2 linked regions of the Lytechinus pictus genome follow. The protein of the gene in region 1 binds, or shares a complex with, the protein of each later gene. Links are inferred from orthologs where the notes say so. Each region holds a gene or a part of one and is shown on either strand. Other genes may lie near its edges.

Region 1 (16,227 bases):
AAGGACACTTGTCCACTCCAACAAAAAGTTGATTTGAATAAAAAGATAAAAATCCAACAAAGATAACACTGAAAATTTCATCAAAATCGGATGTAAAATAAGAAAGTTATGACATTTTAAAGTTTCCCTTAATTTCACAAAACAGTTATATGCACATACTGGTTGGTATGCAAATGAGTAGAGTGATGACGTCATCCACTCACTATTTCTTTTGTATTTTATTATATGAAATATTCTAATTTTCTCATTGCCAAGTGAAACAACGATTAATTCCTCCCTGAACATGTGGAATTAGCATTGTTTAATAATATATGGTTCAGTCAAGTCGGTCCTTATTGTCAAATTTGTAAAAAATGAAATATTGTATAATTCAAACAATAAAAAACAAAAGAAATAGTGAGTGAGGGACATCGACTATTGTCACTCAGTTGTGCATATCACTCTTTTGTGAAAAATAATCGAAATTTTGAAATGTCATAACTTTCTTATTTTACATCTGATTTTGATGAAATTTTCAGTGTTGTGCTAGTTTGATTTTTCTCTATCTATTCAAATCATCATTTTTCTGGGGTGGACTTGACCTTTAATAAACCTCTCTACTTGTACAGTATAAGCTTGGGAAATAATGATTAGACATAGGCTGCGTTTATGCGACCTCAAGCCAGAATCATGATTTGAATCATGATTTGAATCATGATTCAAAACACAAACATGAATCACAATATCACAGAATCAGCGTTTAGACGACCTTCATTCCAATGCTGTTTCTCCTCAGATTCGGGCCAATCCAGTGCGCATCACTAGTGCGCAGTTTGACAGAGGAAGTTTTTCGCACGTGTTTCGGCTCTCGAAAAATCTTTTGCTTCCAGAATTCAGTCTATACCTCATTTTGTTTACTTCTATCATATAGGGTCCATATGCTTCTATTCATCTTGTTAGTTTATCCAAAATGGTGTTCGGAAGTGAATTTCAGCGTAGATCCAATTTAGTATTGATACTGTATACTCAACAACTGAGATCATTGTCTGTCCAGTTAATTCATTTACTATAGAACTTGAAGTTGAAGACATGACCAATAAATGAAAAGTAGTGGACGATGCGATGACCAACACAGAGCTTGAACATGACAAGAAATGCATGCGTAGTACATATTCATGTACATACAGCGCATTGAGCTAGGCAAGAGTCAAACCGAAAGTAGCCCGACACAACAGTGAGGTCATAGAATCATGATTCAAATCACGATATCGTTTATTCGAACATTTTCGTACGTGATTCTGCAGAAACGTCTTTCCAAACGCCCCTTTTTTCGTGTTTCATGTTTGTGATTCTAATCATGATTATATTCAATTTCGACTAAACGCAATCGTGATTCTGCAGAATCATGATTTGAATCATGATTCAGATCATGATTCTAGGGTAAAAAAGTGGCGGATAAACGCACCCCATGTCACATGGAGCTTAGTAGGAAAGTGGTCTAATTATTTCCCAAAATGTACATGAAGGAAAAGGAAATCCATGGAGCTATTTTGAAACACTCCTATCTAGTGGCACAATAAGTCAATTTGAAGGGGCCAGACTTGGCCTTTCCGGAAAAGTTTTGATCTTTTTTTTTAGTAGACAAACCTAATTTTGTGATATATTTGACATACCGTTCTTTTATTTTTCTTTTCTTTCCTTTCCTCACTTTTTTCTTGGTCATGAATTTTCTTATCCTCTCACCCTACATGTATATATATGTACATTAAAATGAATTATGCATATCTGCAAAATTGGGTTATGAAGGCAGATTCTACCACAGTCAGATGTACATGTAGACCTACGTTATTTATTCATTGGAAACACAATTAGTCACATTAATTAGCCATAATCGAGAAAGTGGGAGAAAGAGCAACTCAGAGATTGAGAAGAAAAAATCACAATCAGGAGAAGATTTTGGTGTGCCATTGAGCTCTTATCTGTTTTATAAATTGTGTATGATATAACAAGGTTCATATTCTTTTCACTTTACTAGTTGACAGCTAACTTCACATCCTACAGCATGTAGGGCTTACATTCTAAATTGGCAAGTGCTGATCCTGTACGTAGCCTTCCGAGTCTGGTCTCATGTTTGGTATTGCTTTCTATTATTTTTTTTATATATTTTGATGGTGTCTTTAAAAAAATTTAGACAAAAAAAAAATTGGTTTAAAGTCAGTGCTTTGTGAACAAGCGTTATTATCTTTGAATTTGATGGTATTACGATAATTAACAAACAAACATTAGATATGGCTCTGGCCCCACCACTTTTATTTTGAACATTCTTTTTTTATTAAGGGATCACAACATGATTTTCTTAATTGAGTTGCAGTAACAGCTGAACATGTGATACAGTATGTACATGTAGAGGTATATGTCTGTAACTGCAATTATACAGATGATCATCATGTTATTTCCTCTTTGAACACATATGCGGTTATTTATGATGATGCTGAAAATAGATTACATCGGAAAGTACTTGTACGCTCAAATTAAAATGCACACACAACATCCATATGTAGAAACCATCCATTTGTATTGAGTTCCTCAAAACATATGCTGAAAGCATTGTGCACAGTCATACATCTAGCATGCTCATTGAGGTACTGCATACTCCGTCTCCTTCCTTTCTGAACTACCGTACTTGCTGTCTGCCTCTTCAGATATGTGCATTCTCCGTGCATTCGCAGAAATGCGCTTGCACTTGAATTTCAATGCTTGTATTCTGGGCATGTGCTGACTCAGGCAAGCTTGCTTTCCTGCAGTGGTCTTCATGTGTTTGATGACCAAACATTTCAGAGTCAAAAGCTGAGATACATCATGTACATGTACACCGTGTTTTGTATGAACATTTTAAGAGATTTGCATTTAAAGTGATCATGTTTAGGAATTGCTGTTCCTGTGATATCAATTCAATTCGACCTCGAAAATTAAATGCATGTTTCTAATATATTAAAAGGCCGATGGTTCACTATAAATCCCTATTGAAAATGCCTTAAGTACTGGTTCACTACTCCATATTGATTTAATGTCTAAAATGGTTCACTATAAAGCCATATGGATGTCTTTGTTAACGTTTTGCCTATTCACTGAAAACTCTTGGACAAACCATGTTGCAACTAAATAATTTTGATGTCATTTATAACAATGAGTGATGATAAACTATTCCACTCTACCAAATTATGAATTGGCTTTTTTTTTTAATTCAGAAAATAAAACATTCAGATTTTTTCTTTGATGTTGCATTAATTTTGATTTTGAAATGGACATTACCCTGCCATCAATAATCCAAATTTCCCCAAATAATGAGATGTCAGATCAAACAGTTTATGCATACACATACATGTATAGACATGTAAAACAGCATAGTAAATGATTAAAGGCCATGTTTTTGTATTCAAGAGAATTATTCTGGAAAAAAAGCTTAAAAAACAATTAATTGAAATTAAAGATTGTTTCATGAGAAGTTATTTTAAAAAAAGAAACCAGCATACACCTGTATACCTTAATACACATATACATTTTAATGGAGATTGCAATCAAGAGAAAGTCATGTTTCTGAGACTCTGACACCCCATGTACTGTACATGTAGTCTTCTCTTTTTATTTTCCCCCTTTTAATCATAGATATTGAGGATAAGTTCAAGATGTCTATGTAATCTTGTCTGATTGAGAAGCAAAAGAAAAAAGAACACTTTGATTGTTAGGAAGGTTAATTTCAAAGATATCCGGGAGGAGATTTGTCGATTTGATATAACAATAATTAGATACAATTGCAATGCAGCTTTTGATCATACGTATTTAATGACACATTATACACATTACCAAATATTAGTGCTTCCATTTTTTGCCAAATAGGTATTAAATTATTCAATGTCAATTTTTTAATGCTAGAATTGAATTACAAATTTGTTCTTGACTGATTTGTTTACCGCATCTTAGTAGCATAACTTTAGCTGTTAACTTGCCATTGATTACAAATTTATAAAATAGGCCACGTTGTTCGTTCCCTTTAAAGTGTGAGTCATGTACTTGTAGGAGACATTTCACAGACTGAAAACTTAATTTAGAAAGCATCTGGGCCCCTTAACACAAATGTAATGATCAATAGCAAAAAAGGTAATGACCAATCAAGATCCTTGTTACATTTGCATTTCATTGAAAAGACTGAGCTGTAACCAATCTAGAGTTGATATTTCAAATGTGCGATTGATTGCAAACCGTTGTGTTACAGGGCACTAATCTGAATCTCTCTGACCAGAAGAGGCAAGGGACTTGCTTTCTAATCAAAATTCTCTTTTATCTAGAGGGTGTTGACACTGGGGGTGCTTGAGTTGATGGGTACAATTGTTTTATCATATGAGCTCGAATTCAAATTGATTAAAGAGCCATCAGGAAGGCAAACTGATATTGTCTTTTCAAGGACCCATTGTCGAAAGAGTTTCATTTGAATGCAAAGAGAAAATGACTTGTGTATTATGCTTCTGTTTGGCTGAAAATCAAGTCCATTTGATTTTCAGAGTTGTGTTTGATTACAGGTCTTTCTGCAATACATTCTCAAATCTTATCAGTTGGATTCCTGAAGATGAGGGGGCGCTCTCTAAAATAAAAGTGTGTTTTCGCTTTATATTCTGTAATCATCTCGGTGATCACTTGTTTAAACAAGACCCTGGCCTGGGAGATCTAAGCACTCACTGAGGGTGGAAAAAATATTTGTGCTTAAAAACATGGATTCTTGCATTTATTTCTAGCTTGTATATCTTATTTAAAAAAAACAAATAAAAAAAAACGAATTAAATTCACTTTAGATTAGCTTTAAATTCATGCCTAAAAAATAGCTATTTTTGTCTCGCCTGCATAGCAGAGCGAGACTATAGGCGCCGCTTTTCCGACGGCGGGGGCGGCGTCAACATCAAATCTTCACCTAAGGTTAAGTTTTTGAAATGACATCATAACTTAGAAAGTATATGGACCTAGTTCATGAAACTTGGCCATAAGGACAATCAAGTATTACTGAACATCCTACCTGAGTTTCAGGTCACATGACCAAGGTCAAAGGTCATTTAGGGTCAATGAACTTAGACCATGTTGGGAGAATTATTTTCAAAATCTTAACCGAAGGTTAAGTTTTTGAAATGACATCATAACTTAGAAAGTATATGAACCTAGTTCATGAAACTTAAGCATAAGGTCAATCAAGTATTAGTGAACATCCTACCTGAGTTTCAGGTCACATGACCAAGGTCAAAGGTCATTTAGGGTCAATGAACTTTGGTCAAGTTGGGGGTATTTGTTGAATTACTATCATAACTTTGAAAATTTATGGATCTAGTTCATGAAACTTGGACATAAGGTTAATCAAGTATGAGTGAACATCCTTCCTGAGTTTCAGGTCACATGACCAAGGTCAAAGGTCATTTAGGGTCAATGAACTTTGGCCAAGTTGGGGGTATTTGTTGAATTACCATCATAACTTTGAAAATTTATGGATCTAGTTCATGAAACTTGGACATTAGGTTAATCAAGTATCACTGAACATCCTGTACAAGTTTCAGGTCACATGACCATGGTCAAAGGTCATTAAAGGTCGATGAACTTTGGCCATGTTGGGGGCATTTGTTAAATTACCATCCTAACTCTGAAAGTTTATGGATCTAGTTCATAAAACTTGGACATAAGAGTAATCAAGTATCACTGAACATCCCCTGTGAGTTTCAGGTCACAAAAACAAGGTCAAAGGTCAGTTAAGGTCAATAAACTTAGGCCATGTTGGGGGTATTTGTTAAATTACCATCCTAACTCTGAAAGTTTATGGATCTAGTTCATAAAACTTGGACATAAGAGTAATCAAGTATCACTGAACATCCTGTACAAGTTTCAGGTCACATGACCATGGTCAAAGGTCATTAAAGGTCGATGAACTTTGGCCATGTTGGGGGCATTTGTTGAATTACCATCCTAACTCTGAAAGTTTATAGATCTAGTTCATAAAACTTGGGATATAAGAGTAATCAAGTATCACTGAACATCCCCTGTGAGTTTCAGGTCACAAAAACAAGGTCAAAGGTCAGTTAAGGTCAATAAACTTAGGCCATGTTGGGGTAATTGTTGAATTGCCATCATAACTTTGAAAGTTTATGGATAGAGTGAATGAAATGTGGACATGGGTGTAGTTGACAAGTCTTAAGTCACCGTTCAAATGTCATTTATGGTCAATGAACGTGGTATTATGTCATTATATGAATGGTGTTTTTGTAAATGATTATTTTATTGTAGTTTTCAAAGTTAGCACTGCTGCTATATTAAATCGCGTAATGCAGGCGAGACTGCCAGAGGCGTTCCACTTGTTAATGTTATGAAGACCCAGAAATCTGACCCCAGCCCCCTATAGTTTTTTATTCCACATTTTGTTATATGCATACTACTTTTCAAAATCAATGTTTATAATGTTATATTTATCACTTACCAGTAATTTTCACTTCAATTCAGTTTGAATTCAATCCAATTATTAGTGAATCAAAATTGTTATTTTTAACTTTACAATTAGTAATGAATTTACATTGTCATTATACTATTTTAATCAAATTTTGATATTTATATTCCACAATTTTTGCACTCTAAATATTATTACATGTATAACTATTATTCAAAGATATGTTCATGTATTTCATTATAATTTTTTTATGTATTGATTCATGTTAATTTATATGTAAATTCATCTCAATTCAGCTTGGTCGCCATGATATATGTTTTTTATCAAATAAACCATTTATCTGTCTGTCTATCTAGCTATCTTATCTATCTATCTACATGTATCTATCTGTCTGTCTGTCTGTCTATATATCTTATCTATCTATCTATCTATCTATCTATTTCTATTGAATAGAATTTACTTATTAAAGCTTCTATCGCCCTCTCACAGTAAGGTGTTCATTTTTGTCTCGCCTGCATAGCAGAGCGAGACTATAGGCGCCGCTTTTCCGACGGCGGCGGCGGCGGCGGCGTCAACATCAAATCTTAACCTAAGGTTAAGTTTTTGAAATGACATCATAACTTAGAAAGTATATGGACCTAGTTCATGAAACTTGGACATAAGGTTAATCAAGTATTACTAAACATCCTGCCTGAGTTTCAGGTCACATGACCAAGGTCAAAGGTCATTTAGGGTCAATGAACTTTGACCATGTTGGGAGAATTATTTTCAAAATCTTAACCGAAGGTTAAGTTTTTGAAATGACATCATAACTTAGAAAGTATATGGACCTAGTTCATGTAACTTAGGCATAAGGTTAATCAAGTATTAGTGAACATCCTGCTCGAGTTTCAGGTCACGTGACCAAGGTCAAAGGTCATTTAGGGTCAATGAACTTTGGTCAAGTTGGGGGTATTTGTTGAATTACTATCATAACTTTGAAAATTTATGGATCTAGTTCATGAAACTTGGACATAAGGTTAATCAAGTATTAGCAAACATCATGTGCGAGTTTCAGGTCACATGACCATGGTCAATGGTCATTTAAGGTCAATGAACTTTGGCCGTGTTGGGGGTATTTGTTAAATTACCATCCTAACTCTGAAAGTTTACGGATTTAGTTCATAAAACTTGGACATAAGAGTAATCAAGTATCACTGAACATCCTGTACGAGTTTCAGGTCACATGACCATGGTCAAAGGTCATTAAAGGTCAATGAACTTTGGCCGTGTTGGGGGTATTTGTTAAATTACCATCCTAACTCTGAAAGTTTATGGATCTAGTTCATAAAACTTGGGATATAAGAGTAATCAAGTATCACTGAACATCCCCTGTGAGTTTCAGGTCACAAAACCAAGGTCAAAGGTCAGTTAAGGTCAATAAACTTAGGCCATGTTGGGGTAATTGTTGAATTGCCATCATAACTTTGAAAGTTTATAGATAGAGTGATTGAAATGTGGACATGGATGTAGTTGACAAGTCTTAAGTCACCGTTCAAATGTCATTTATGGTCAATGAACGTGGTATTATGTCATTATATGAATGGAGTTTTTGTGAATGATTATTTTATAGTAGTTTTCAAAGTTAGCACTGCTGCTATATTAAATCGCGTAATGCAGGCGAGACTGCCAGAGGCGTTCCACTTGTTTCTTTGAAAAGGGACTTTTGAGCATGTATCTATAAATGAATTAGCGACTGGATTTAGTATGCCACAAAGAAATTTATTGTGAAATTTTCAGCTCATTCCATATCGAAATGTTACGATATGTAAATATATATTTTTTTAAAGAAAATTATATGTATAGTTTGATTTGAATTGAAATGTTGCCCTGTAGTTCTAGGAAGTCTGGGATTTTATTGAAGATTTCAAACCCCTGACACTGTCAAGTTGGTTTTTGTAGTTACTTAAAGGAGAATGAAACCCTTGAAACCAGCTGAATCCATATCAAAGAGAAAAATCAAAGAAACATATTGTTGAAAGTTTGATGAAGATTGAATGAATAATAAGAAAGTTATGAGCATTTGAATATTGAGATCACTAATGCCATGTAGTTCCTCCCATTGGCAATGCGACCAAGATCTGTGATGTCACACACGTACAACTCCCTCATTACTTTAGTACTTATTTCACTTACATTCTCACTTTTATAGTCTATCACAAGGCGAGGTGTTCTCTTTATGAGAGGACAAGTACAGAGGTTTCACAACATTATATCATTGATGAATCGTTTGTCATATGATTAGAATGAGCAAAAAGAGATGTTTTGGGGTATATTTTCAGTGTCCAAAAGGGGAGAGTTGTTCATCTGTGACATCATAGATCTTGGTCGCATTGCCAATGGGAGGATCTCCATAGCATTAGTGATCTCGACATTCAAATGCTCATAACTCTTCTATTGCTAGTCCTATTTTACTCAAACTTTTGTTGATCTTATTCTTTTATTTTTCTGCTTTCACAAAAGCTAACTTGCTCCAAGAGTTTCATTCTCCTTTAATATGTAGGGCGTCAGTGCAAGAGACAACTAACAGCCACAAATCACAAATATTATGCTTCCGAAATCTCTTGATAGTGATTCCGCACAGGAATCCCCATTGGGGAATCCCATGTGCCACAAGCAGCAAAAGCCCTTTTTAAAAAGTTGGTGGCAGTTGCATGATACCTGTATATTCAATATGTATTTAATAAAATGGTTAGTAGTTTTAATTTTGAAATGTTTATTCAGGCATTGATGATTTTGTCATTTGGTATGCCATGGTAACATTTATATAATTTTTAGAAGATATTGTGCAAGTGTTTTTGAACCCAAAGCACAGATTCTTCATTTTTAGCAATGAAATATGATATTTACCACTCTTGAATGAAGAAATGCATATTCATTAGGAACTCATGAATATGTATTGTGCTTGCTCGTTGGGCCAGTTGTGCAGTGGGTACATGTGCATGCGTGCGTGCTCTCAGTGTAGTGTATGTATACACACGTTATTCTCTGTCATCTCACTCTCTCTCCCATCTGTCTTTCTTTCTCTCTCTCTCCCTTTCTTCTTCTCTATTACATGTATAAATGAAATCTTTATTTTAATGAACAAAATTAATTGTATTAACTGAACAAGAAATGCTTTACCTTAATCTTATCATGTTACCCTTTTCAGAGTTTTTATTTGAAAGAGACTTACTGTGGTCATCAAATTCACTGTACAATGCATGTTGTCATGGTTTTTTCACGGTCTTCTTTTTGCATTCTCCCCTTAATTTTTGTAGATGGCTTTACCAATTTCATTCACTATCTTTCAAACTGTCTCTTTTCTATTCAGGTTGTTCAGAAGTACTTGGAGTATGTTGACCGGGTCAAGATGATGGGACAGGTTGATACTACCACACAACAAAGGTTCAGGTAGGGGATTTCCCTTTATAATCTGATACCACCATCCCCCCCCCCCCCCCACCCTTCTACAAAATTGCATAAAATATACTATATATCAAGAAATGCTGCTGTGAAATGTGAAATGATATTATTTGGGATCTTTGGTTAAAATGTAAAGGCACTGTTCACGTACACCATGGATCTATTACACTCACACGCCAACTCAGATTTTTTTTTTTTGAGGGGGGGAGCTAGTATTTTCAACTCAAGCTCTGCAAGTAAATGAGCAGTTTTAAATCAAGTTGATCAATGTTTTGGCCTTATTTCTTTGTCATAGTGGTAAGAATTGTTTGGCAACTTGAACACAATCCTGTTCATGGAGACATGCTCATTTTCTATAAAAAAAAGGAAAAAGAAAAAAAGGGGATGTTTTACGAAGATTTAAGTGTGACTAAAATTCATGCTTAAGTGCCACAGGACACGTATTTTACATATAGACTTCTTCATTATTACACAGAAGCAAACATCCTCCAAGCATTGTTTGACCATTATGCATTATATACCACACACAACTGGGTATTTGAATTTAGTTGCTTTTAATACTGCTGAAGTTTGTTAAATGCCCCTTCAGATCTCTTCTGCAACACATAAATGAAATTGAAATTCATATTTATCAAAGGGATGATGGTACAATTGTGGTGCTTTTTCTATGGTCTACATGTATATTAGTTTATAGACCTTATAATCATACTTTGGTACTTCTGTTTGACACCTCTATAAAAAGCTTGTCGTTCTTTCCAATCTATCCAGTACTATTTCTCATGTGTACTGTAGGTATCTGTTGGAATGGATAATTTATACTCCTGCTATGCAAGATTTTGTTTTTATATTATCATTTATTCATAAGGGATGATAATCATATGACATTGTGATGAGTACCTTTTCAGATATTTTCTTTGTATTTTATTCAAGGGATGAATCTTAATAAGTAAAATTGATGTAAGATATAAAAAATCCATTTATGATATCTTGGTTTGAATAAAAAAAAATTATCAGAAATCATAGCACATCAATGAATTGGCCCCAAAATAAATCCTCTTTGATGCAGAATGAATCACGAGCTTGGATCTCCGACTTATTCAAGGGGGGATGATGAGTATGAGAAACAGATCATTTCCTTTGTAATCATTACTGATATCTTACAATATCATACTCACATATAAATATGCATACATGTACCTTTGACTTGAGAGTATTAAATGCATGTTTTCTTTTGTTGAACTAACCATCAGTATTATATGATATGTAGCTTGGAAAGGCACATTTGGTTCATCTAACTTTAAGAGCATGGTTGGTTTTTAGTGCACAAGTGCATATTTTATTTTTGTAAATATATATCTATATTTGGATAAAAAATGTACTCCTTTATATATTCTTTAAGTTTAACAATAGTTTAATAGTCAGTATATTCTGCCTATCTCTTCATACACTAAAATGGACTAAAATAGAATGAATTATTTAGTGATTATTTGGCATCCACCCCCAAAATGATAGTAATAAATGAATACATAAATGGGTAAATGAAATTTAATTTAAAAAATAATCAATAAGTAAATAGATGAATGCATAAATAAATAAATGAATAATTAAATGAATGAATAAATAAATGAATAAATAAATAAAATAATAAATGAATAAATAGATCACAATTTAAAGAATGTATAATGCTTTAAACGCATTATGGAGTTATGGTTACAATATGTAAAATGTTCATTTCTTGATTAATTTATAAGGTGGCATTGAAAAGATGTTGGTTGATAGCCTTTGTATGTTGTGTTATTCATTGAATGATGCATTCTCAAACAATTAAAAGAAACTTGCTTTCAATTGCAAGTCAAATACCATGTCCTGACACAACATAAATTTCCTACAAAGTGACTGATGTATCAAACTCTAAAATCATTCACAGTGTCATTGTCAAAATGACATACATTCAATACACCAGCCTTATATTGTAATGGCTTAGATCTTTATAAAACAAAAGCCTAAAAGTGCAGTTGATTGCAGATTTTATCCTCTCAAATGAGCTGATATTGTGTGGTTAGGTGAAAGAAGCCGAGGCATCATTTTTCAAACCACAATAAACAAGTGAAATACAAAATTCAGATATAATGACAGATAATTGCATTGTAAGCAATTACTTTCAATTATGAAGGCGTATGGAAAGAGACATTCTAAATTCTAAGCCAACATATTACAATCCTTATTTCCTAATAATTTAACAATGATTATTTTATATACAAACAGTGATTTGAGCCTGGAAGTGTTTCAACAGTGAAAATTGTTTAATGATCTTGTTGACTTACATAGTTTTAGTTGATTTTTGTCAAATAAAACAAGTATAGTATATATACATGTACATGTAGTAGCACAAATATTATTTCCACAACATGACTTGGCTTTTTCTCCCTTCAAGAAATTTCATCTGAAATTTAAATCAAGTTTAATGCTAGAAATGTATCTATACATCACCCTCTTCCAGTTGGGTGGTTGGGATACATGTACATGTATATTGTACACCTATTGTAACAAAACTATCCTTGGTGTATATTTATATTTATTGTACACAAGTAACAGATTGACTTTAAAATAACATGTATGAGCGATTGCATTTGTTTTTATTCCTTTTCCTTCCTTAATTCCAACCAACATGTTTTTCTATTTGTTTTATATACAGATATCTTCCCATTTTCTAGATCTTCATTGTAGATGAGAGAGAAATGTAGAAAAGAATGTTTGTGTATAGTGTATTCACTGCCTGCTTGCATTATTAACTCCTCATCATTATGGCCACTACAAAGGCTAAGTTGGACTTGATTGTACTTTTAATATTCATCTGATTAGGGTTCCAGCCTTTTTTTGCTCAATTACATCTTGATTTTGATGATTGTAATGAGTGTTCATTTGACAAATATCATTTAAATATTGTGCTTTTGTTTTATTTGAAAACTAATCTGATTAATTAAAATTAATTAAATCAATTTATCAAAATTAATTGATCTGTCAGAATGATATATTTTAAAATGGTGGTTACCCTTCGTACAATTTTATCTAATGTTATTATTCAGAAAAATGAAAAATAATTTTTAGTATTGAATATGTTTGTTTTAACGAATGGATATTTGCTTTATTGCTTGGAAAAGTCTGGAACTCCTATTTGTTTAACATGGTTCTGTTTTGTTCTACCATTCATATCTAAGCCATATACCAAAATTTTATGGATAAAAAGAAAAAAACAGCCCAGTTGCAATATTCAAATCTGATCCTGAAGTATGTTATCTTAAATTTCACTATTATTAAACTGGCTTCTCATGCCTAATGGAAAGAAATACATCTTTTTCATTTCCTTTATTATCAGTCCCCCTATTTTTTTGGACTTAGTTACCGTACATTTAGGATGAAAAGAGGTGGAAAAACAACATGACAAAAATATGCAGATATATGGCTTAGATATACACTTTTTATCATTGACACTGTGCATGCACATTGCATTTTGAAATTTTATATTGCATGGATTCCTTCCCTACTCACACCTTCAACCCACCCTCGAAATCCTATCCATTACTTATATTTGCATGGGGGCATCTTTCATAATTTCATAATTTCTTTTCCAGGTTTTTTTTTCATTCTCATTGTCATCCTGAGGGCTATTAAACTTTTAAATAGTTTGAGTAGTCTGGTTTTATTAATAAAACAGTCTTACTTCTCCCATATTTTCAGCATTTTCATTTTATCCTTTGTTTGGGACTTTGGGAGTATTATTTATTTACAATCAAAACTGCCATCAAGTGACTCCAGCTTATTGAGGATTTGTGTATTGCATCATGGGAAAATAAATTATTAGTTGTGGTGCAGCTGTAAAATAATCTGATTCCCGCTTCATAAAGACTTGTTATAGTAACAAATGCAGATTTGCTATAACAAATTTTACTATCAGCCAATCAGACAGATGGATTTCAGTAGCTTTTAGCTCTTATTGCAAATTTGTTATTATAACAAGTTTTATGAAGTGGGTCCCTGAAGTCACTTGAATTAGAATAATATAATTCTATCAAAATTTTGAAGAGTTGATTTTGATTACTTATCATTGCAAAATTTTTGTTCAGATTCCAAAATATCAATCACAGCATTTATTATTCTATACTCGACACTCTTGGGTCATTAGGCATCACAAAACATGTTAGTTCAAATCTCTGTTGCACCTTTTCTTGGATTTGTACAAATGGCAATGGGAAACTCACAAAAAAAGTGCATTTGAGATTGGCATTTCCATGAAAATTTGGTTTCTGTAAACACAAATATGCAATTGTTTCATTAACGATTTCTGTATTTCCACCATAAATTTTGTGCAATGCAGGCTCTTTTAACTTCTTAGCCATTAACATGGATCAATACGAAATGTTAGCTTATAAATATAAATGAACAAAAGTAGAAAAATAGCCCTAATTTTTCCTCAACTTTCTCCCTATGTACTGCATTTCAGATATATGTTATCTTCATTTCATCTGAGAAGCACAAATGCACCCATGTTGACCTAACTGGCAATGTTTTAGTAATTTTTATCATTTTTTGTGATTTTACTATATTATTTTGATAGAAGCTTTGTACTAGCTAGCTTAAAATTGGCCTTTCACATGCTGGCAGTTGGGGGCGCAATTGATTGTAAATTAATCATACTGGAGCTTTTGTACCTCTCATCTCTTGGATGACAGAAGGGTGCTTATAAGGATTTTAGTGGATATAATTAAATTGGCTTCCAACAGATGATGTTTAAAAATAAATCAGTTATTATATTGATCATTCATATGCAGTTCACCTTTGAAATACTTTGCAAACCTACATGTAAATGTTAAGTCACCATCTATAAGGGTGGAGGAGTGACAAGTTTTTTTTCAAATGTTAAATTCAGTTTTGACTGGGGTTGATTCAGCGCATTGATGGTTGAATTTGGCACAATAAAGTTTTATCTCACAACAAGAAAGTTGTTAATCTGACATTTGAAAATTTAGTCATTCCTCGGCAATTATAGTATAAGAATTTTTTCTTAGCACTTTCTTTGCACCTAATTCCTGGTATTTCAGTTTTATTCACACAATTTAGTTTAATTTCACATGTGTACTTGCCGGTGATTAATCAATCATATTTGCTTAATAATTTTTGAAGTCAACATTTTTGCTATCATTTCTTTTATAGCTTTTATTTGATTCCTTAAATCATACCTTCCAAATTCATTTTATACAGTATTCTTTTAGACTTTGAATGGAAAAAAGACCCAGCCCCTGAAAAAGTACCCAAAGAATTTACATTATATTGTCGCCTTCCCGCAGAAAGGCCGTTAACGTATTTTGGCGCCAAAAAAAAAAAATTGAATTTTGTTATATTGCTGAAATGGAAAAAGCATGTCCCGAACTTTCTTCTGGTACCATTCTCGAACCTGAATGTGATGTCATTATGACATAATAAGCAAAAACATTCCCACTTGCTTTAGCATATAGACGCATTCTTAGTCTGGGAACAAGACGCTTCTCGTTCAACGTGCGTGTGCGCATAGACCGATTCGGGCTAGCGGCCTTCCTGCGGTCACTGGATCAGCGGATTGCACATTTTTCTTCCCGGAAAAAGGGTGTAAGGTATTCCTTCTTAAGATTAGAAAGCGTAGATTAGAGTGTTTTAAATAAAACAAACAAAATATCAATGAAGAAAACATCTTTGTCAGAAAGTATGAGAATTAGGACAGAAAATAATACACTAGCTGCTTAAAGCACAAAAATAAGGTCAAAACATAATTTGCGTTTTCTTAAAAATGTACTTGCACGTTAACGGCCTTTCTGCGGGAAGGCGACGATATGGTTTATACTGTTTATGCAACAATAAAAAATATGCACTTTGCCTGTTATAATAAAATAACTTACTTTTTATTATTCTCATTCATAGTTTCTCTTTCTTTAACAAGTTTGTCAGCCTAAATACCCTTCAAGTTTGATCTAAGTTAATCCCACCAAGGGGGAAATGAAAAAGAAAGGGGATGTAATGTAATAAAGAGACTTATTTTTACCTTCAAGTATCATGATTTTACCCAAAAATGAAAAATCTTTGATTGGACAGATGTGATAAAATCCAATAAATCTTTAGCTGTGATCTTTCATTCTTAAATACACAGTTGTGTAGAATAAGTGTATCTAGAGATGTAAACAAGCAAAGCCCATATCTGCAAGAATGTACAGATAATAATTCCCGTTACTTTCCAGATTACATGTATGTAAGGCATACTTCTGTTGTAACTTTGCTCACTCTTATCCATTCCCATAGGATAA
Region 2 (16,578 bases), on another chromosome or scaffold:
GAAGTAGAATAAAATATTCATAAAAGAGCTACATGTAACTACGAACAGTACTGACAGCAAGCGAATCATTCTTGCATTATTAGTATTTGCTATTTGGCTATACACATTCATACTTCTCCACATTGCTGCCTACATAGTCTCCTTTCAGTCACTGTATGGTACAGAAAATACTGTAGAGTACAGTTTCATATTAATTAACCCAGGGAATAATTTTGCTTTACAAATTTGAATAGCATTTTTGGTCACAAGAGAAAAGCTCTCAACTATAATGTACAGTCCTACATGTATGTAAAAATATATGTATAAAAAAATGCACATGATCCTGGCTTACACTGACATACATGTAGCCTACAATGTACATTATGTAAAACAAATAGTTTTCTGTACGAAGAAGTAACGCTGGGAGTTCTGTCATAATCTGATTTAACAATGTCATTGTATTTTAAAGATTAGCAATAGTTTGTGAAAACAGTTTATTTGCATGGTGATGCCATCATATTCATAAAAATTAACTTAACAATTAATACAGTGTAGACAGTTGGGCTGTCATGTCCCCATTTTCTCTTCTCTGTACAGTACATTGTCAATTTACCATCACAAGTAATCACTATCTCATAATTTTGTATCTCCTTTGTACATGTACCGGGGTAAGTTACAGCATTAAATATCTTACACATTAAATCCCTAGTCACTCCATATGTTTCTATTTCTCTGAATCAGACTGAAGATGATTTAGAATATGATTTCTTATAAAATACCTCAAAAAAAAATGTTGGGACATGACATCATCTGCTTGCTTAAATTGCATATTCACGAGAGAGAACTGTTTCACCGAAATAATACAAAACTTACATGTCATAGCACTGTTATTCCCTATCTAATTTTTATGAAATTAAGTTTTGCTGTCTAATTTTACTTCATCTGTTCAAATCATTATTTTCAGCCTGGAGTATAAAGTGTATTAAACCCTTTTGCAAGTCCACCCAAACAAATAGTTATTGATAGGAAAAAAATAAACTACTTTATAGCATAAAAGTAAAAATTTCATAAGAATCGAATGAAAAATATTAGTTAGGACATCCTAAAAATTTGTTCATTTTTCACAAAACAGTAATAGGAACAAAGATTCAATGAGAGGGAAAGAATTCACTGACTCATCGACTATAAAATAAGTTTCTTTGCAAATAATTTTATTTCATTTTCATTTCTCGCAGATTTAATCATGTAAAAACTCTTCATTGATTAACTGTAGCAAATGGCAATTCAACAAGTTCAAGGAGAGACCTTTGTTTCACATTTTAATGAGAAAATAAAAATATTTCATATTTGATATGAAGTTAAAAAAAGAAACAGTGAGGGAGTGACCATCATCCCCTCCCTCATTTGCATACCGGCCAGGATTTGCATACCATACACTGTACTTCGTACTGTTTTGTGGAATCAAGCAAAACTTTTTTAATTCAATATGACGACCACTTTTTCATGAAACTTTCACCTAAAGCTTGCTTGATTTTTCTCTGTTTGGGTGGAATTGACCATTAAATGAGAATGAAAACCATGGAACATGTAAGCTTGTGTGTAAGCAGAAAAATCAAAGAGCAAGAGAAACAAAGTTTCGAGTGAAATCAGACTTTGTAACAATAAGAAAGATTAATATGAACATTTGAATGTTGAGATCACCGTTACTAGGAATATCCTTCCATCGGCAATGTGAACAAGTTCTGTGATGTCATCAAACATCATTACATGTACACCCCCCTCCCTCTTAGACCCTGGAAAATATATACTCATACATGTATTGATTTTTCTCATTCTAATGATAGGACAAACAGGACAATAATATTACTGTGAAACCTCTATTGCAACGTCCTCTCAATGAATAGAACACCAGGGGAGTGTTTCATCAACATTTTCATCTGACAAGTTGTCAGATCTGACAACTTTCCTTGATTTTGATTGGCTGAGAGGCATTGTTCCTATGGTAACTGTCGGATAAAATGGAACTTGTCGGATAAAACTTCTGACAAGTCCTTTCATGAAACACTCCCCAGGGCTCCGTAACACAAAGATTAACGATCAATCGCTAAATGAACTGACCAATCAATATCAATGTTACACGCGCATGAGGTTTTAAATACTGACCAGGGACCAATCAGTGCAGTTCTTTCACATTTGCAATTCATCGCAAACCTTTGTGTTACGGAGCCCAGGGGGGGCGTTTCCTGAAAGGACTTGTCAGACGTTTTATCCTACCTGATAAAGTCCTCTTTTATCCAACAGTTACCATAGGAACCAATCAAAATAAAGGAAAGTTGTCAGATCTAACAACTTGTCAGACTAGAAGATGATGAAAGACTCCACAGACTTTGCGACAGACTAGACCAATGAGAATATGGTGGTGATTTTTTTACCTAATTGCTATTAAAGAAAGCATTCAATGCTTGAGAGCAAGCAACCAGAGGGCCAACAGCTTAAGGTCCTCTCCGAGGGACCTAGTAATGAGGATTAATGCCTTACCAAAGGGCACTAGCACACTGAGTGGGAATCGATCCCGGGTCAGCGGAATCCGAAACCCCCCTCTTCCGACTGAGCTATCGCGAAACGTGTAATGGGGAAAATTAAACGTGTGTGACATCATACATGTAGATCTTTAGTCACAATTAAGCACAATGCCAATGGGAAGATCTACATGGTATAGTCATCACAAATATCTACTTCAAACTAGGTTTAATATTTGGAAAGCAGTTTATATTGGAAACCAGTTAAACATACAAGAGAGGCGCATAGGAGTCTTGGAAGCGATCTTAAATGTTCTTCCAAACCAATGTTTGCATACAATCAGCAGGCTACATACATGTATGCAAGCATCCTTTAGCAAGGCATTTAATAATCAACACACTTTGCCACTAGTCTGCAGTCACAGACCTTTGGTTTTCACAATTTGCATTTGATACATTATACAGAGTCTGAAGTGAAGAGACTAGATTCACTCATTTTCACTGTGTACTGTGGCTCGCTCTATTTTGACACAGACACTAGTCTTAGGAGTCTAGTCTTTGACTTTAGACCTGTTAATGGTTGAAGTATCAAATATGAGTCTGTGCATGCAGACTACTTTGCCACTCTCCAACCAGGTGGGTGTTTCATAAAACTGTTTGTACAGTTACGCACAACTTTACGCACGACTGGAACCTGTTCTTAGGCGCTAAATCAGTTACATAGCGATATCATTTAGCACAATAAATGGTCACCAGTCGTACGTAAAGTCATTCGTAACTTACAAACAGCTTTATGAAATAGTCCACAGGTGTTAAAATGGTACCTAATAGGATATGAACTCCTATGATATGGACATGTAGAATACATACTGTACATGTACAAATGATATGTAATTTACGATAGCGTCTTGGAACTCATTTTCGGAATGCTCCCATGGGAGTGGAGAAGGTCTTGGTGCATACATTGTGTGCGGGCATGCCACAATCCCATGACCGGCGTGAACAAAGAGTGCTTAGAAGCATCTTAATGCATTTAATGCTGTACGTACTATTATTGTGATGATCACAATGTACACCTGTACAATTTAACGTATACCCAGCTCTGTGTTTAGAGTATTGGATTATTTAATTGTATTTTTTTTTTTCAAAGGATACTTGTCTTGCCTGCAGCGTCCAATCCTAGCATAAGAATCCGAAGATCCTTCTTGCCGAAGATCTTTGAAAGCATTTTACCCATTTTGAAAGAGTCCTTTATTTCTCTCTTCTTCGATACAAAGAATCTTTTGTCCGTTCCCTGATGCACTCTCAACAATTCACAGAATGAGAGGATCGACTCTGGTCCTGTTAACTGTTCTTCATGTAGGATTGCAACTCTTCCTTCTTCAAACGTGTAGTCCCATAAACAGTATTCTGTGTGTTCCTTCTTCAAATGTGTAGTCCCATGCACAGTATTCTGTGAGGGTCAAGACTACTTCCCTTCTGACAACAGTGGTATGTTTTGTTCTTTGAAAGTCTCTTCCGATGTTCCTTTTTCGTCAGAAAAGAGACTTCATACCTGGCAAGATAAATAACAAAATTTGAAAAAAAGCTCATTACAACAAGCAGAGCAAAATTCAGAACATATTGTTATATTATATAATAGTAATTATTTACAACTAAAATTAAAATTTTATGTACGTAATTACTATTTGGTAAATAATTTGTCCATAGCGTGGGTCATCGCAGATAATGTGCGCCATCATGGAGCGAGTCAAGCCCATTATATTAAGCATAATAAGTAACCTCAGGTTTGGCTGATTTAAATCACGATTCAAATCACCATGATTTTTTTTTTAATCATTGATTTAAATCACTTCCATTGAAACATGTACAAATTATTGACTTTTTTTGTTGAAGCAGTTTGTTGAAGCAGTTTTATTTTTTTTCACTCAAAAGAAAAAGATTTATAAACTTTATATCAAAACATGAACAAATCCTTCATATTTACTCAGAGCAATTGACATCAAGTCAATAAGATCTGGGCCCGTTGCAGAAAGAGCTACGATCAAACGCAACTAAAAAAATCTTGCGCAACTTGATTTTCAGTCAATGAAGCACCTGTACTCGGGACTTGTGTTTAAACGCAACTCTTTCTGCAACAGGCCCCAGGTCGCAACTCTTTCTGCAACGGGCCCCTGATCTTATTGACTGGTTAATCTTTCAAAACTAAAGATGTACTACGTAGTGGTCAACACTTAAGACCCCCACTCCACTTTAAAGTAGACTTTAATAGTTACATTTTCCCCGTAAACTTTTTCTTTTCTTGATAGTAAACAAAGTTCTTGTATCTTTATGTAAAAATCCAAGTCTTTTAGAGGACAGTTTTTAAGAAAATATAAGAGTAAGAAAAGGGTTATTGGCAGTAAGTTCTATTCTGATCATTCACAATAGCAAACTGCACTTCAGAACCAAAAATATGTAGAGGAAATTATAAAAGAAACCCTGAACTTAGAACATACATGTATAAGGCATGAATTCCATCAGAAATGTTTGCCACGATGGGTTCGACTCAAGGCCTGTTCAGACTTTCTGTATACAATCGTGCTTCATTCAGCTGAGTACAATGAGGAAGGTCCAGTAATCAATGTATTACAAATGTAAGCATGCTCTTGGTATAGGACACTAAATCATGGCAACATACATACATTTATAGCGCCCTATGCCAAAAGTGAGCATTTATTTTTGTACATTTCTCAGTGAATGTGTTGAATTGAGTGCAATAATACATAGACATGCAAAATCTATGTTTATTCACAAGATACAAGACCTTAAAATTCCTTTTTAAATGCCACATCAAAATTATGTTAGTAAAAAGATGTAAACGAAGTAGGTTATTTGGAGCAGTCTTTCCTCTTTTTATACCAAAATCATTAAATTTGGACGACGCCCAACACTAAACAGGATCAGGCAAGATTTCCATATGCACCCCCCACTAAAATTGAAAATAAAAACATGGAGAAGATTCAAAATAATATCTCTGACCTAATATACAACATATATAATGGGGGAGTGGAAATACATACCAAAATATGGCTTTATTCTGTCAAATTTCGCGCAGGATCTAGTGCGTGTAATTGTCCAGACATCGGTTTATTTTTAGTCAGTAAAGGGTCTATGAGTGACTGTGAGTTAAGACTACATGTAGTCGAACTATCAGCTGATAATTGTTAAAATACCCCTTCCGGTATCAGCGCTTTTCGCTAGCATAGCGGGAAGAGGTCTTGACTGCAGATAAAACGAGGTGAGTTCGAGTCCCAACTAAGTTTTGTAAGTAAGGTATCTTCATGTATAAAGCAACAGTAAAAAAATAATAGAAAAATCTGAAGTGAACAAACTTTAAGTCTCGACAATCTTTTGTTAGTTTTGGTGGGGGGTGCATAGATAACTCTTTCCCAGGATCATATGTCAGAAATGCATTGAACTTTGATTTTTCCCTCAAAACCATGACAATTTTTGGCTGTGTGAATGCGGTGAAAAGGGCGATTTTTTTTGCTCTGTGACGTGTGCAGTCACCCTACCATGACTACTAACTACTACTACTAGTACTACTAGTAGTACTACAGCCTGTAATACCAGTGGGAAGATCTCAATTTTCTTCTGACCACCACCTCTAAATTCAATCTAATGGCTGCTCGATCTAGTATTGTATTTCTAATTTCTAATAATAAAGTTAACGACAGAACATTGACTTTTGTCTTTAATTAAATTAAGTTGAAAGTTTATGGCAATATGGGACGGTCTACGAGTACAACTACGGTACGGCCGGGTCTGGTTTTCAAATTACACTTGCGTTAAGTTGCATGCGGCCTTGCGGGTAACAACACTACTTTAGTCTAGACTTAATTCATGTTATTTCTTGAATACTGTATCACGAAAACGTGTGGGGTTTAGCCGAAGTGCGTGCATTAAAAATCGCACGCATCAATGAGGGAGATGACTTATCACACAGCTCACCTTATTCACACACACAGCTCACGTCACCCGACGTCTCTGTAACTTTCAGTACACGAACGTGCCGCAAGCATACACTACCGACTTCCGGGAATAAAATAAGTCCCTAATTCAATCACCAACATTCATCAAACGCTTAATAGAACATAAATTACGTCTTATTTACCTCAAATGTCCTTAAGCGAAACATTGTGACGACGATGGACAAGAGTCGAATGCAGAAAAAGTAACGTTTGACACTTTCTTTTCATTCATCGAGCACGGGAAGTAAATTATACGCGCGCGGTGAGTGAAACCGCAGTACAAAGCATAATATTTGAGCGATTAAAAATAAAGTTCTCATTGAAGCTGAGATATTTTGCATTATTTCCTGAATTAAAGTAGATTATGTGAGTTTATATTCATAATAAAAATAACAACTTAACTTATATTTTTTATTGTTGGAGCAAAGAAACAAATTTTCATGAAATCTTTAAAAAGTACATGAATACATATCAGCTTTGAAGTGAATTGTCATGGGCGTGGTGACGTTATCAACAGGCTCGTTCCAAAATTATTGGTAAAATGTAAGTCCCACATGTTGAGAATTGTGTATTTAATTGATAAGAAATTCATTATTAGGATTTTTTCGCAATTATTTTATGCTAAAAAGTTTACAAATTGTCTACATTCTGAAGCATGAAGTAAGGATATTTTGCAAATAAGCTCCGATATTTGTAATTTTGAGCGTTTGATTAAATCCGATTCATGGCGGGAATTCCCCCTCAAAGACGACGCAGGCGCAGGTACAGGTGTACGTATATGTGCACTTCCCAAGTATGTGAAAGAGAGGGGAACAAGGCCAAAGCTCCTTCAACTTCAAGTTTGCCTTGGGATAGATATGGAAGGAGTGGAATGAGGAAGGGGAATGGCATCGGTGGCACCGCGAGAGGACGGACGTGAGGGTTATCCCCCCTTCCGTCAGGAGCACTTCCCCTCCCACAGAAATTCTGAAAACTGAAATGTAAATCCGCCTCTGATGCACCCCCCACACACTACCACATAAAAATGTAGTGGGAAATATAGACACTATTGCCTATTATTTGTATTTGCCCTCTATTTTCGAAATCCCACTGCCGCCACTGGGAAGAAAGAGTAGGGGAAAAAGACTGTCCTTATATACGTGTAACTCTCTCTCTGATGAGAAGTAATGGAGGAAATGCAAATTCAATCGATCATTGCTGTTTTTGTTTGTTTGTTGCTTATTTTCTTTTCTTCTTCTTCTTTCTTCCTTAATTGATTTATTGTCTCACTATAGAACGCCGGAACACTTTAAAAGCACGAGCTCTAATTCGTACATTTCTTGTAGGCCTACTTACCTGAAGATAATTTTGTTCAAGTTGGCCAGCCGCTGAGGTGCATGGCATATAAACAATGCGAACCTTTTATATATAGCGGTGCATGGCATATAATTTAAGCTACGCATAATTTAAGCTACGCATACCATTGTTCTCTTCATCCATTTCTTTCACAATATATTATATATATATATATATATATATATAATATATTGTGAAAGAAATGGATGAAGAGAACAATGGTATATATATATAATATATTGTGAAAGAAATGGATGAAGAGAACAATGGTATGCGTAGCTTAAATTAAGGTTCCCCAGAGCTATCTGCCCTTTTGGAAAAATTGGCAATGCCGAAAAAATGTATCTGCCGGGAATCGAACCCGGGCCCCCAGCTTTGAACGCCGGTGCCTTAACCACTATAGACCACCGGCATGCAGAGACGGGTCAGTGGCTAGGGCGACCCCGATCCGATTGAACGTCAAATAGACAGATTTTCGACACCATACCAATTATAATTTCCTTTGTTGGGTGAATATATATATATATATATATATATATATATATATAGGCCTACATTTATGTTCAGCCCCATTTTCAAAACTATATAAAGGACAAGTCCAACCCAACAAAATGCAACTAAAAGATGATTTGAATAAAAAAGAAAAAAATAATCCAACCAGCATAAAACCGAAAATTTCATCAAAATCAGATGTAAATGAGAAAATTGTGACGTTTTCAACTTTTGCTAAAGTTTCGCAACACAGTGATAGTATGCAAATAAAGGGACTGATGATGTCACCCGCTCACGATTTTTTTTTTCATTGTTTGAAATATTCTTCTCCTTTATAATTCTCCTGTGAAACACACCCTGAACATTTACAATTATATGACTCAGCCAAGATGGTAATTAATTATTGTAAAATCTCTAAAAAAATGAAATATTGTACGATTCAAACAATATAAACGAAATAGTGAGGGACATCATCGACTCACTAATTTGCCTGTCAATGATTTGTGCATAATAACTGTTCTGTGAAAGATAAGCAAAACCTTAAAATGTCTTAAATTTCTTACTTACATCTGATTTTTTTGTTAAGCGTTATTCTTATTAGATATTTCTCGATTGATTCAAATCGAAAATTTTCTGGGGTGGATTTGACCTTTGAATAAAATGCGTATAAGAAAATAATGGAAACTCGAATAGCGAACAGAAAAATTTGTGCACATTAATTTGATAATGGGTTATTGCAAGCCCATAATACTCTTGTTATTTCTTTTAATAGGCAACATTGCGAAATCGCATTTTTTTAAACCTTTATATCAGTACTTCTGACCTGAAACTTATCCCTTTTTTCAATTATTCCCCTCTCCTTATATTTTATTCGATTCTATTACTCCTCCGATCTTACGTTCTTCTTAATTTCTCTATTATTTACCTCGGTACCTCATTGCGCTGCCAGTAGGGCAAGGCACCGTTGCCCGCTTCATTACCCGATCACCGAATCAGCCTATGCCCCCCCCCCCCCACGGCATATTGGGAATTTGTGTAAAAATGTGATATGAATTCGCGCTTATGGAGAATTGAAAAATAATCTTGGGTATTAAACAAACTTAAATTCACTGAGGACTATCATGGCTTATGAAACTAATAATTGATTTACTAAGTAAGCCTATATATAGGCCTACACAAACAATAAAAAAGCCATTCCTATATTTCAAATAAATTTAGATCGGAGAAACTGAAAAATGAAAGGGTTTACAAAATATATATGATGGTTCAAGGTACGAAAATTTTTCAGTTATGAAATTGACACATTCAGACAATCGGTGTAATAACAGACTATCGGTGTAATAACAGACTAAATTGGGCGTTTAGGCAATCAATAGTTAGAGGGTGGGTTAAAGGGGAGGGGGGCATTTTCACAATGGGATATTTTTTTACCGTAATTTAGTTTTAGTCTTTGCATTTTTTCTTGTAATGCACTCGATTAAGTATTGTGTATTTACAGTGTATATTATTTTTTATAATATGTATTTACGTTGCAATTAAAGGACCCCATGGAAGAATAGCGGCATTATGTTAATACCGCTGAAATGGGCGATCCTCCATATTTTATTTGACGATTTTCTTTTTCTTTTTGTAATTTGATCATGTATATATATTTTGTTTTATATGGAAATAAATACAGACAAGAAAAGTGCCTTGAATTAGTCGTTGTCATGATGAACACGATGTATATCTAATTTTTAAAAAAATGCGAGCTCGAAGCGCGGGCTTAAATTTTTGTACAATGAAATTATGAAAAAGAGACATCTTCCATGTCTTCAGTTGTAAGCTGAAAATGTATTTATTGATCTGTTAATGACGGTTTCCAGTGACTCATAAAAATGATATTGTCACCAGTCATAATAATGCGAACGCAAAGTGCGAGCAGTATAATAAACTTTGAGCACTTTTTGTCAAAATGAACATAATTATGCTATCTAACCAAACAATAAAGTGCAAGCTTAAGATTTTCATTTTCAGACTGAAAAACTTTGCTTCTCGTGGTTATTAAGATGATACTAAACTATATTTAGCGCGAGCTGAAAATTTTAGATTTCCCGAATTTTAAACCCGAAATTTTTTGCACTTTATGAAAAGAATAGGTATAATAGGGCCTATCTATACGAACTGAAAATTTAAAAGTTTTTGACTTTTAATCTGGAAATTGTTAGCATTTTTTTACCATGTACAGAATAGATGAACAGAACTGATGCGAGCAAGAAACGTGAGTTTTAATTTTTCATTTTCCGACGAGAAAACTGGAAATGTACTTTTTGTAATAATTAGAAGTATAATTTATGAAGAGCTCACTTGCAAAAGGGGTTCATCATCATCATCATCATGTTACGAGGTGAGGTAATCCTGTTGACCTCGATCTCTTCATCTGAAATTGCAGTCCATCTCCATACGATGTGTTATTACATAAGAACAAAAACTTGCACACGTGGAGGGTAGAGACGGTTTTGATCATTGGAGATTGAAACGCTCAGACCATTTTTCAGGTCCATTTTTCATCAAATTTGATATTTTGTCTCAATGTATAGATTTTTAGTAGCTCTATAAGATGATACCAAAGAAGAGTTGAAATTCTCATTAAAAAGTGATCTAAAATGGCAAAGAAAAATCACTTTTTTTTCAAAAAGGGGTTAGGTCCATTTCAGTTTGGCTGCAAAAGGGGTTAGGTCCACACAGTATTTTTTGGAAAAGAATATTTTAAAAATATGAAGACAGGTAGATTTTTTTTATACCCAATGTTATGTTCTCATGGTAGGGTATCATGAAAATTTAGTTTCGCATAAGAATATTGCAATATGGGAGAATAAAAAAAACTTGATTTTCTTGGAGTGGACCTAACCCCTTTTGAAAACAATTTATTTTGAAAAGCTAATTTTTCAAAAGGGGTTAGGTCCATTGTTCATAATTTTTTATTGTTTTCTGTCTCAAATCATCTAAATTTTTAGTCATTCTGATGAAAACAACGAAAATTTGAAATTCACATGAAAACGTGAATAAAAGTGGCAAAGAAAAATCACTTTTTTAATCAAAATAGATTGGATTCATTTCAGTTTAGTTGCAAAAGGGGTTAGGTCCACGATGATAATTTTTAAAAGAATATATAGAAAAAAATTGAAGACAGGTAGATTTATTTTATACCCAAGTTTATGTTCACATGTAGGGCAGTACATCATGACAATTTAGTTTCTCATAAGAGTATTGCAGTAAGTGAAAATAAAAAAACGTGGTTTTTATCGGAATGGTAAAAAGTGGACCTAACCCCTTTTGCAACGAAACTCTTCATACGAGCGGAAAGGGGACGAAATGGCCCTACCCTGATATAAGTCACCTTTCTTCTCGTGTGTGTCAGTGTGTATGCGCTCGTTGTGTACAAAAGTCAATGGGAGATGAAAGAAGTCACCGCCGCTGACGAAATGAACGGCAGTGAATGGAGTGGTGACTTAAACCAGAATAATGCCGAAAAAAATTATCAGCCATTTTTGGATTACCGCCCCCTTTTACATGACGGGAACTTATTTATGAGCGATAAAACCAGAGTTATTAGACACTACTCTGGATACACTACCCCCTCCCCCTCCATTTGTGATCAATTGTATCCGGTGGTGGCTTGTTGGCCGGATAACCGGATCACGATCAGAAGAAATATCCGTGAACCAATAAAATTCAAGATGGCGTTTTACCACACTGCCTGTTTTGTGATCGCTGTAATGATTATTTGTAATGCCATCTTATATCCGACAATATTTAGCTCAATTTTCCGGAGTTGGTTTGGGGGAACACCACCAAAGCAAGAAAAAGAACAAATGCCCGGTAAGATCTCTAAGACTGTGTCAAATACCTTTTTTAAAATTAAGCAAGAACAGATAAATTTTGTCATTTTTGTAGTCTACCGTAGATTGTTCTTCGTCGTGTTCGGATGCAGGGGCTACCACTGGCTCCCGGCGGTCGGAGGCTGGCCCTGCGTTTGCGAGCAGCTGTATGCCAATTGCCAGGCATTACGACGGGTCGCGCCCCGCTCAGCTCGGCTAACTGGCATGACTGGAGCTTAAACGGCTTGACTAGCCGGGCTATGCCTAGTACAGGGCTAGCTTTTTTTTTTTTACTAATACTAGGCAGGGAAGGGGGGGGGGGGTTCAAATCAATGAACGAAACTTAGAAAAGAAAGAGCAAAAGAGAGGAGTAAAGAAGTGAAGGAAGAACTTCAAGTTCAAGAAGTGACTGAAAGAAAAAAAAGAAAGGAGGGGAAAAGAAGGAAGAGGAAAAATATAAGATAGAGAGAAAAAGAACTAAATAATTAATGATGTTAGTGTTACAGAAAAGTCAAGAAGGAAAGAGCAAAAGAAAGAAGCAGGAAAGGGAAGAAAGAAAGAAAAAGGAAAGAAAGGGGAAATGAAAGAAAGAAGGAAATCAAGTAAAGAAAATGCAAATGAAAGAGGTAAAGTACTAAAGAAGGAACAATTTAAGCAAGAAATAAAAGAATTTAAGAAAGGGAGCGAAAAAAAGTAAAGAAAGAAGTGAAGGAAGAAGCGAAAACCTAAAAAGGACTGAAAGAAAGGGGAACAAACATTAAAGAAAGGTAAAAGAAGAAAGAATTAGAAAAAAGAAGAGGAAGAAAAAAAATAGAGAAAAAGGAACAAATTAAATTACAGAAGTAAAGAAAGAAGGGAGAAAAATGAGTAAAGAAGAAGGAAAGAAAAGAAGAGAAGGAAGAAAAGCCAAGAAAAACATTCATCAGAAAGAAGGGAAGAAAAAGGAGGAAAACAGAAAAAAAGGAATGAAGGAAGAAAGAAAGAAAATAAATAAATAAGAAAGAAGGGAAAAAAGTAATTTAAGAATAAAACAAGGCTCGACATTAGCGGTGGCCCAGGGCCACCAGAAATTCACCTCGGGCAACCATTATTGAAAAAATGTTAAGTTTTGGTGGCCCGAATCGGGCAACCAATAATTTTCAAAGTAGCGCAATTTTTCTCCCGATTTTGCACGCATTTATCAACTTTCTACAGTTCAAATTGCAAGCCAATTCATCATGTGCCCTTTTTGTTAATCTACACACAAAGATTGCATAGTCATGGAGGAAAGGAACATTACAAAGCAGTGGAGAATTGTCCAGCTGGCCGCGCCGGCCGTCTGGCGTGAGCTTTGCATGCATGAAACCACTGCAGCTCGATGTGCGCAAGCAGACTATTCAGACTCGGGGAGCTGCGATACGAAATGTTGCTGCTAAGAAATCTTCCACAGAACTTTGAAAATCTACGTCAAAGTCGCATTTTACTATTTTTACACCAATGAAATGCCCTTCTACAGTCCATACGACTAAAATCTGGTGTAACCTGATTATTTGCAAGCATTAAAAAGAGGAATTATGACCTCTCTTTTGACTCAAAAAGACCGATTATTTCCAAATGCATTACATAAAACACATAGGTGAGTACATCACATTCCCATGTGTGCATTTGTATGTATGTTGATACTTGGTTTCTTTCTTGTTTATAAATGACTTCTTAAACCACTCTTGAGGAAGTAAATACTTTGGAAGGCATTTCATTGATATGAAATGTGAATTTTTCTAGCATTTTGGCAAATATAGGGAAGGACTTTTCTCACACTGTTTTTTCCAGATATAACTTTTGCCGTTTTTTTTTTTTAATTTTTTTATTATTTTTATAGTGGTTAAACCATTTATACTCCTTCCCATTGAATTTGCCTGATTAAAGAATATGTATCTACTGAAAAATTATAACAATTTTCCCAATTTTTTATTAATTTTGTTTTATTCATTTTTCTTTCATTTTCTTCTCTAAATTTTTTCTTTCCTTAATTTTTCCTGTTCTTTGTTTTTTCATTCTTTTGTTTTATTTCACTTATTTATTTGATTATTTTTGTTTTCTTTTTTTTTTATATACTATTCTAAAAATTATTTTTTGTTTGTTTCCCCCTTTTATGCATTGTTCTAATTTTGCAGCATATTTTTCTGTGATTTTCTCCTGCTATAATATGCTGGAAAAGAGAAAATAAACTGGATTTGGGGCCTGCATAATCTCGGTTTTAGGATTCAAAAAGGAAGAAAGGAAAAATCATTGTTTTGTACATCTATTGAGTTTGCTATGCACTATTTATTTACTTTACCATTATGAGAGTGTGTCTATACGGAGATTAAAAAAAAAAGTCCACACAACCTGGGAACAATACAATTCTTTTATTCTCTTTCAATCATTTCATATTTACAATGATAGATAGAATTTACAATGATAGAAATGATAGATTTACAATAATAGCAGGGCCCGCTGGGAGAACAGTTTTCGGAACTGAAGCGGCTTCCCTGGGTAAATATACCTGTATTATTATTATTATTATTATAGAACAATTTATATATTACCACAAATCAATTAGCAAAGTAAAATAACAGCAAACAAGATTTACATACAAGATGTACAAAGTGAAAGTAACTTAGTGGTAGTGGCTGCAGAATTAATATTTCAAAAGTTTGTTTTATTAATTTTTAATTAATGTTTTTCTTTATATTTTTCGGGCCACCAAACTTTACTATCGGGCCACCAAAAAAATTATTTGAAGGTTTTGGTGGCCCGAACGGGCCACCACCAAAAAAAGTTAATGTGGAGCCTTGAATAAAAGAATGAAATAAAGAAATAATGGAAGGAATAAGTGGAGAAAGAAGGAATGAAAGGAAAGAAAGAAAGAAGGAAATAGAGATGCAGGAAGAAGAAAATGCAAAAGAAAGAATGAAGGAAGGGAAAAGAAAGGAAATTTTAAAAAGAGGAAAAAGAAAAAAAGAGAGGAAAGAAAGGGGGACTGGAAGGAATAAAGGAAGGATGAAAAAAACGACAAAAAGGAAATAAATTTATAGATTTTAAAAGATGAAAGAAATAAATAGAGAATACTTCCCTCAAATTTAGTAAAAACTAGATTTTAATTCGTCATGAGGACGAATTAGGTGGTCTGTCATGATTTTTCGATTTTCATTCAGTGTAGGCTAATGTATGAAATGAATTAGATATGATTTAGATATGATTGATAATCTCGATCATAGACATCATGGGAATAAATTTTGACCATTGCTAAATATGATTACCGGGTATTCAGTGATGTGGTGATGACAATCGTGATGATTATAATGATATTGCTAATGTTGGTGATTTGTTTCTTGAACCTTCCTGTTATCCCGTATCCAAAATTCATGCTAAGACATCGAATGCTAGACAAATTCTGAAAGTGATTGTGAGTTTGTGATGCAAGAAATGTGAATGTTTCTTCCTCCTACGGCGGGAAAGACACAGATCATTATTTGATAAGATGTACTGGTACCGTATCGTAGTTTGCAATGTACAAGAACAATGTCCTACATAAAAAAACGCAAAGCAAGTGGGCTTGAAATTTTCAGCAAGACCGTACAATTGATTAATAAAACATTTCCAACAAAAATTTCTAAAAATTAGGTCCAGAAAAAATTAGCAAAAACTTAAACAAGTCATAACACATTGATGCTGTGGTCGAAAGTGAAATTATTCACACGTTATTTGTAGAGAATTGTCTTCACCACATCATATCAAAATTTGGGAGAAAACTGAACATTAATAACGAAGATACAGTCAAATATGCATAAATACGTTGACGTATGTTGTGAAAATATGTAAATTTCACTTCTAACGTAATTTTGAGGTAATTACGAAATCTCCAAATGAGATATTGAGTATATCTAAGAGTGAGGAAAAATTGGGGGTCAACGGACTTCCTGAAGAGCTACAGTGAATTTTATATACATGTAGGCATATTTTTGCCCATTTATGACTTATTTTTGCGAGTTTGCACGCGCGAGTAATGCAAATTTGAATGTACGCGCATTCCTGTATTATTGGTCGTAAGAGGCTGAATGAGGTATCAAATTAATCAGAAGATAATGGACAATGGACAGACATAAAATAAATGATGACTCGAAGATGTATACCGATGGCAGGTGCAAGAACGCGCACGCATACCAGTGCGCGCGCAAATTCTTGAAAAGCTAAAAATGACCTGAAACGTACCCAAACTTGACCACGGTCGATTTGGGGCATTTTAAAATTTTGATGCCCGCGTACATGTGCGTCATGACCTCTGATGACATGTCCTGATGACCTGTCACCTGAACTTGATATGATGCAAATATGGATGATTTTTTATGATTAGTTGCG

What was found.
Region 2: the proteins of C-Jun-amino-terminal kinase-interacting protein 4-like (region 1) and ADP-ribosylation factor 6 are in contact, whole or in part, in a crystal structure (PDB 2W83), measured with the Homo sapiens proteins. The link is inferred for Lytechinus pictus from reciprocal best matches to the Homo sapiens genes SPAG9 and ARF6. Residues at the interface, in NP_001124000.1 of Homo sapiens: Lys431, Asn432, Ile435, Val438, Asp439, Thr442, Cys443, Asp446, Val447, Gln449; in NP_001654.1 of Homo sapiens: Glu13, Arg15, Lys34, Phe47, Val49, Glu50, Thr51, Thr53, Lys58, Asn60, Trp62, His76, Tyr77, Thr79.

Annotation. Positions count from the first base shown.
Region 1 is NW_026974140.1:2,998,820-3,015,046, reverse strand, and holds the start of C-Jun-amino-terminal kinase-interacting protein 4-like, read left to right. Parts: upstream 1-9,802; 5' UTR 9,803-9,842; coding exon 9,843-9,883; intron 9,884-10,961; coding exon 10,962-11,009; intron 11,010-16,222; coding exon 16,223-16,227. UniProt on the Homo sapiens protein: The JNK-interacting protein (JIP) group of scaffold proteins selectively mediates JNK signaling by aggregating specific components of the MAPK cascade to form a functional JNK signaling module.
Region 2 is NC_087250.1:26,842,684-26,859,261, forward strand, and holds the start of ADP-ribosylation factor 6, read right to left. Parts: upstream 7,309-16,578; 5' UTR 6,655-7,308; intron 4,054-6,654; 5' UTR 3,736-4,053; coding exon 3,654-3,735; intron 1-3,653. Other genes in the region: resistance to inhibitors of cholinesterase protein 3-like, read left to right, coding at 12,058-12,199. UniProt on the Homo sapiens protein: GTP-binding protein involved in protein trafficking that regulates endocytic recycling and cytoskeleton remodeling. GTP-bound form plays an important role in the transport of multiple palmitoylated proteins form the Golgi to the plasma membrane.